Nothobranchius furzeri: one gene and its partner. The protein of the gene in region 1 interacts with the protein of each later gene in a pairwise test. Links are inferred from orthologs where the notes say so. Each region holds a gene or a part of one and is shown on either strand. Other genes may lie near its edges. The genes, in order: bnip2 and frk.

Region 1 (3,822 bases):
GTAAGTTATGACTTATTCTAAGTATTGCATTTATTTCTGCAGAAACCCCCGTGAGTATCAAATCAGAAAAAAAAAACACCATTTATCTGCTTTTGGGAACTAAATCAACCACCACTAAGCATATTTTTGTCTGTTTTAGGCTTTGCAACAAACCACAGCAAGAAGGCAAAGAAAAAACTCAGTGCTCCAGACATCAGCCTGACTCTTGACCGCAGCGATGGCTCCATCCTCTCTGATGAGCTGGAGGAAAGCACAGAGTTGGATCTGGATGCCATCGACACGCCGTCAGACAACAGCAATGAGTTTGAATGGGAAGGTAAGAAGTATATCACGGAAAACACAAATACCACATCTGCTTTGGCCCTGGAACTGTGGTTTTATCTAGCTTTGTTTTAGTTTCTGCTGTTAAAGCAAAATATGTAAAGACATCACTCCTTAGGTGAGCTAAATACTTGAAGGTTCCCCACTCTGAGTCCAGTTAGAAGAGAAGGCCAGGTATCTTTATCCATATAGCACATTTCATACATTGAGGCACTTTCCAGGAGCATGAACAGCTAAATCAACACAACAGCATAATTAAAATATCAGATGCACAAATTTAATTCAGATTTAAGAATCCGATAAAAGTTAAAGGGTGAGCAGTTACGGTGCAGCATAATAAACAGTCATTCATAGGCTGATGAATACATGAAAGTTTGAATTTAGATTTAAAAGTTGGGGCTCTTTTGTGGTCCTGAGGAAGCGCCCTGCTTCACATTTTTATTTGTTGAACTTGGTTCTTGCACCTCTAGATGATTTACAGGTTTACTTTGGCAGTTTGCTGCCTCATGTATGGTTAAATATGCTTTGTTGTGTTTGTGTTTCCACTCTGCCGCCTTCTTCTTTTTCACTTGGAAGAACCGCTTCCTTTGTCTGCCTGGAAACAGGCTGCAAGCCAGCAGCAGGTTTCTCTCCCCCGTGGGGTAAGGACTCTTGGACAGACTTTCTTCTTGTTTGATCTTTTGGAAAACACAAGTCAATCAGCGTCTGTCGTCCGATCATGTTTTCAGACAAATGCCTTTTTTCCCATCATTCCTTACTTCCTCTTAATTCAACTTTGCTTTCATATATATATATATATATGTTATTATTATTATTATTTTTAATTATTATTTGTTTGGAGTTTTTCTGTTCATGGGGAAATGGTATCACCTTGTCACCAGTTTAATAAATCAGCTGTTTTGATGTTTGTGAAAAATTAAAATTAATTTAATATTGCAAACATGAAATGAAAGGAAAAAAAACTGGAATCTACTTTTTTGCTGTTGCTGTGGCATAAAAAACAGCGCAGCATTGCTTGGAAAATGATGTTTTTACTTTAACCATCTGTTGTGTGGTCTTGGCATTTTTACTTTAGTAATAAAATGAGTGCGTATTTTCAAAATGAAAAGGAAATCTTAGCTTAAAGAACATGTTGTGTGATTTGCTTTCACAATTTTGGTTTTGATTCCTCTCGTTGCATGCTTGAAGTACCTGATCACTTAAGTACTTTGTTGATGTTGGGGCTGCATGACTTAATTTTTTTTAAAGTCGACAGTCAAGTAATGAAAATCGAGTCTAATTTGACTAGTCGTTGATGACGTCATACACCTGAAGCGGCGCAAGGGGTGGGGGGTTGGGGTTCGGTTGGTTCGCATCAGGCACAAATAAAAGACAGAAAACATAAAAGGAAATGAGCCGACATAAACGATTGCGTGTTAAATTTGTTTTTCAGGTGGCGACACCTGATGTTACTGTGGCTGTGCTCAGGACGCAGATGTCTGGAGCGCGTCAACGATCAGAGCTTTGCATGCACAAGCTGGTTAAGATTAGGATGGTGGTGAGGGGAAGGTTAAATTGTAAGATGGTAAAGGTCACAATTTAGTTAAATGTCCGTTTTACGGCGGGTGTCTGATACCAGTGCGTCGCCTCCCGACGCGCATGGGCTCGTCACCTGCTGTCTTTTCCAAGGACTGCATCTTGTCGGTCATTATCATGTGACAGCGACTAGTCGATGACAGGCATAAAAAGTCACTACAGAGCCGTGAAGTCGACTAGTCGACTAGTTCATACAACCCCAGTTGATGTTATGACATCAGTTTTATGAAACTATGCAGCTCTACGTTTACAAACAAAAGCGGTTTGTTGTGAAAGAACATCTTTGATTTTCATTGTGAATCGACAGGATTTTTGCCTTTTCTCTCTAAAAATCGCAAAGAAAGAACGCCGTATTGTGAATTTTGGTTTTTAATCTGGGGAAAAGCATGCTGCAGAGATGCAAAAGATCAAAACCAATCATTTGTTCAGTGCGCCCGATTGAACTGCGAATATTTGATTAAAAAACGATCGGATCTGGATTACAAGAGCTATGGGTGTTTAGCTTTTTGCTTAAAATGTATTTTCTTCCTCAGATGATCTTCCCAAGCCCAAAAGCACAGAAGTGCTACAGAAAGGTGTGGAGACGGTCCAGGAGTTATCCGCATCAGAGGAGCGGGAAGAAGGTCGACGGTGGAGGATTTTCCATTTTGGAGATCAGGACCACAGAGTGGATATGAAGGCTATTGAGCCCTACAAGAGAGTAATCAGTCACGGGGGTCAGCACCTTTTCATGTAGTTCACACACTAAACAAAAAAACTCTAAACATGTCATAATGTTAGCGTTTTTCTCTACAGGTTACTATGGCGATGGTTTGAATGCTATAATTGTGTTTGCCGTGTGCTTCATGCCTGAGAGCAACCAACCTAATTACAGATACATCATGGACAATTTATTCAAGTGAGCCCATTAGCCTCGTTTTAGTGCTTTAGCGATGACGCGTGAAGCTAACGACGGTTTCCTGTTTCAGATACGTCATTGGCACTCTGGAGCTGCTGGTGGCTGAGAATTATATGATTGTTTATTTAAACGGGGCGACTTCTCGTAAGAAGATGCCGACGGTCGGCTGGCTCCGAAAGTGTTATCAGCAGATCGATAGGAGGTGAGTCGACATCGTCTCATCCTTCTAATCAAGTAAAGCTTCGACTAAAGTAGAAAACCTGAGACTTTGAGCCATTATTTACTCATTATTTTTCTTTCAAACACAGGTTACGGAAGAACTTGAAGTCGTTGATAATCGTGCACCCTTCTTGGTTTATTCGGACCCTGCTGGCTCTCACAAAACCTTTCATAAGGTATCAGAAATGTTCAGGGTGGTAAACACAATTATTTATATTTGTTTAATCATTTTCTGCTTTTCTTTTACAGCTCCAAGTTTAGCCAGAAAATCCAGTTTGTGTTTAGCCTGACGGACCTCGCTGAGCTCGTTCCAATGGAGTATGTGTCCATACCAGATTGTATCAAACAGTAAGTACGTTGGAGCGCTGCTAACGTGTCTGAAGGTCTGCAAGCTAAAGTCACAGCTGTAACGGGTATTTAGTTACATTATTTATAGTAGATTGGAATCTACTCAAGCAAAGACGTTAATCATTTTTGTATTTTACACTCTTCCATCTTTATTTTACTCTTGGAAGCTGTGCTGTGTTTGCATTTTCAAATGAAACACGAGCAGAATTCACATCATGTTTAAAGTAACAACCTGAACTCATCTGTTGTCTTGATTGTTGAGGATGATTCACCTCTGAGAGAATTTCAAACCAAAGTGCAGAGCATTTACATTCAAGTAAAGTTCTCCCCTGTTCTCCATCCTGACTGTCATTGGGACCTCTGCTGACCTGGCTTGTATCTGAGATGCTTCGACCACTTGTCTGAAGGAGAAGATTGCTGTCAAAGTGTCCGAGGATTAAAATCGGATCAAAATGGGAAAG
Region 2 (3,822 bases), on another chromosome or scaffold:
GTCCCTGTTTTCACTGTTTAGAGCAGATGGCAGACTGCATGTGTGGGTGAGCGGTTTGCTGATGTCAACGTTGTGGAACGAGTAGCCCATGGTGGCGGTGGGGTACTGGTACGGGCAGACATATGTTATGGACCACATTTTATTGATGGCCTTTTGAATGCACAGAAGTACCATGACAAGATCCTGAGGTACACCGTTATGTCATCCATTCATCCACCTTCATCCACCGCCAGCACCTCATGTTGCAGCATGATAACAAACGGCCCCATTTTACAAGGATCTGTACACATTTCTGGAAGCTAAAAACATCCCAGTTCTTGCATGGCCAGCATACTCACCAGACATGTCACCCATTTGGGATGCTCTGGATCAGTGTATACGACAACGTGTTCCAGTTCCTGCCAATATTAAGCTACTTCTCATAGCTATTGAGGAGTGGACCAACATCCCATAGGACACAATCAACAACCGGATCAACTCTATGCGACGGAGATGTGTTGCTCTGCATGGGGCAAACGGTGGCCACATCAGTTATTGGTTTTCTGCCCCACCACCCCCCATAAAGCAAAACCGAGCACATTTCAGAGTGGCCTTTTGTTGTGGGCAGTCTAAGGCACACCTGTACATTATTCATGCTGTCTAATCAGCTCCTTGATATGCCAAACCTGTGAGGTGGGATGGATTATCTTGGTAAAGGAAAAGTGCTCACTAGCACGCATCTAGACAGATTTCAGAACAATAATTGTGTCATGGGTCGTTTGTGTATAGAGACAAATTTTCAGATGTTTGAGTTCAACTCATGAAAAATGGGAGCAAAACCAAAAATGTTGCATTCATATATTTGTTCAGTGTACTTCACGATGGCAGTGACTTCCCTGCCTTCTCTGACTGCATCAATGCTGGGGGTCACAGGAACCAGACTGGTGGACTCGATCTGTTAACAGTTGCCGCTTCCTTTGCTCACCTGAGAGAGAGAGCTCTCCTTTCCGACCTTCGGAGTTTCTGATGAGGAAAGCACCAGACTGGTTCCACTTAGCCAACAGCATCTTCTCTGCATCCAGCCTTTTGGTGTCCGAAAAATACCACCTGCATTTCAAAATTCATTCATTTAATGTAATGTGGTTTAAAGAAATACAAGGAGAAAAAAAATGCACCAGCAACCAGAATAAAACACCTTATGCAGCTTTATGCAGCAGTTTAACAGCCAACCATTTAGTCCCCAAGTGTTTAACACACAGCATCTTTTAATACGGAAGAAAATCCGATTAAAATCATTCAAGCCAAGTTTGCTCAAAAGCCTCACAAACCAGGCGACTATGGATTTTGAACTCCAGTTTGTTCCATGAGCGGGGGGATTTCAGAAAGCGAGATCAGAACATCAGGGATCTCCTGATAAATACCTGCTTGACAACGCGCTCTCCTTCTCTCCCAGTTGGGCCAGCTCCACGAAAGATTCTCAGGTTGATTCAATCCCCTCTTACCCCCAAATTCCACTACCTCCGCTCCGCTCCGACACGAACGCCGGAACAAAATCGGTCCCGTTGTAGTCAATCAGAGCAATTCCACTACTGCGGCCGTGCTCCGGCAGTGCGGCGCCGTGCGCTGCCCTCTGTTCCGGCGTCCGGCAAAAATAGAATCGATCCTATTTTCGCCGGACGCCGGAGCACCTCCGCAGTAAATGGACAGAAATAACAACTGCCCAACAGGAAAAGGAGCAAGCACAACTTCCGTTTTTCACAATAAATCGATAAACAAAAGGCGTTTTTTGTTTCATATGCACAGGTTTAACAACTTTTAACAACTATCAATGGCGGCTGAAGTTTAAATGCACAAAAGTAAGCCATAAATACAGTTTCCACTATCAAAGTAGTCACACTTTGTTGATCCAAACACTGCTGATCTCTCAACACACATGATGGGCAGATTCAACAGTTCATGCCGATGCTTCTCCCACACAACGGGTGTTTGGATCTAACTTCCGCGTTTATTGCTCGGACTGTATCGCAAGATCTCTAATATCCCGCGCATGCTTGTTTGCGCACCTCAGGTCTCCGCACCGGAGCGGAGCCGTTGTAGAGCGGAAGCGAGCGGCTGCAGAAGGCGGGGGCGGACCGCAGCGGAGGTAGTGGAATTTGGGGGTAATCCATGCAAGGTGGGGCAAGCTAGGACAATGTGTGTCCAAAGGCAGCCCCTGTTAATCAATGCTAGATAAATGAGAATAGAAGGACAGAGCCTCGATCTTCATTCAGACGGAGTAATAATTAATTGTTCATTCATGCCTATGAGGACTACAAAGATATCAGAACTAAATAATAAGAGCATGAGCCATTTGATTGAAGCTGTGAAGCCGGCGCTATTGAGTCAGAACGCGCAGCGTTTACATGTTTCCATGGGTATGCTTCAGCCCGTTTTTCCGCATATTTTATTCAAGTTCATCATTTGTGTCGTTTTCATGTTCGGTTCCAGAGTCTGGATGTTTGGACACTGAAGGACTTTGTTTTCGCTGAGCAGCAGTGAGTTTTAAGACTATACGTTTGTGGAGGTCATGTGACCCTAAAGTTAGCTCTGGAAACTGCATGTTAATTACATGGGTCCATCCCAGACAAAAGTTAATAATTATACATATTAAAAATGCTGAAATCAGGAGCATCAGTGGAATTAAATGCTCGTAGCTTCTAGGGGCTGCACGACTTAATTTTCATTAAAGTCGACTGTCAAGTAATCAAAATAGAGTTGACTTTGACTAGTGGTTGATGACGTCATACACCTGAAGCGCCGCGGGGGGGGGGGGGGGGGGGGGGGGTCGCTGGAGTTTGACAATTAAAATTGCGCCCACATTTTCAAAGTTAAACACATCTTTTAACAGCGGTAGTTTCTGCATCTATACTGCTCCACTTCAGCTCGCTCCCCCCTCCCCATGCGCAGTGCACCTGCAGCCTCTCGGAGTTCCTGCTGCTCTAAACATTAAAATAATTATTTCATTTTCTGTTCCTCACTTCTGATTACCTTCAATGGTGTCTGTTTGTTGCAACCAGCAGGTACAAAAACTAACTTGTTTTTATTTGACTATTTTTCTGTCCTGCCTGTTTATTATCTTCCTGCATCTCCTCTCAGTCCTAAAGAGAAACTGCTACCTGGGTTCATATATATTCACCTCATGAGTTACCTTTGAACTGCAGTTCTAAAAGATCTACCGACCGCAAAAACAGCGGAGTGCGCGCTGCTCGCCGACCGCATCAGTGAGGTGAAGTTATTGGAGGACAAAACAGGTGATGCGCCCCGCTACACAGCAGGGAAACGCATCAGGCACAAATAAAAGACAGAAAACATCAAAGGAAATGAGCCGACATGAACGATCGCGTGTTAAATTAGTTTTTGAGGTGGCGACACCTGATTTGATGTTACTGTGGCCGTGCTCAGGACGCAGACGTCTCGAGCGCGTCAACGTTCAGAGCTTTGCATGCGCAAGCTGGTTAAGGTTAGGATGGGGGTGAGGGGAAGGTTAAATTGCAAGAGGGTAAAGGTCACAATTTGGTTAAATGTCTGTTTTACGGCGGGCGTCAGTACCGACGCTCTGGCACAGCGCGTTGCCTCCTGATGCACAGCTCGTCACCTGCTGTCTTTTCCGAGGACTGCATCTTGTCGCTCATTATCACGTGACAGCGACTAGTCGCTGAAAGGCATAAAAAGTCACTACAGAGCAGTGAAGTCGACTAGTCGACTAGTTCATACAACCCCTACTAGCTGCAAATGAAGATCAAATACAACATTTTTAAGGTAATCCTTCTCACATATAAAGCTCTTAATAATCAAGCTCCATCA

Evidence for each region.
Region 2: the proteins of bnip2 (region 1) and frk interact in binary tests that used the Homo sapiens proteins (3 or more experiments, as listed by UniProt). The two-hybrid records come from large-scale screens. The link is inferred for Nothobranchius furzeri from reciprocal best matches to the Homo sapiens genes BNIP2 and FRK.

Annotation. Positions count from the first base shown.
Region 1 is NC_091744.1:67,577,769-67,581,590, reverse strand, and holds part of bnip2 (BCL2/adenovirus E1B 19 kDa protein-interacting protein 2), read left to right. Parts: intron 1-139; coding exon 140-316; intron 317-2,429; coding exon 2,430-2,612; intron 2,613-2,691; coding exon 2,692-2,794; intron 2,795-2,864; coding exon 2,865-2,996; intron 2,997-3,102; coding exon 3,103-3,189; intron 3,190-3,262; coding exon 3,263-3,361; intron 3,362-3,822.
Region 2 is NC_091743.1:89,682,666-89,686,487, reverse strand, and holds part of frk (tyrosine-protein kinase FRK), read right to left. Parts: intron 1,087-3,822; coding exon 965-1,086; intron 1-964. UniProt on the Homo sapiens protein: Non-receptor tyrosine-protein kinase that negatively regulates cell proliferation.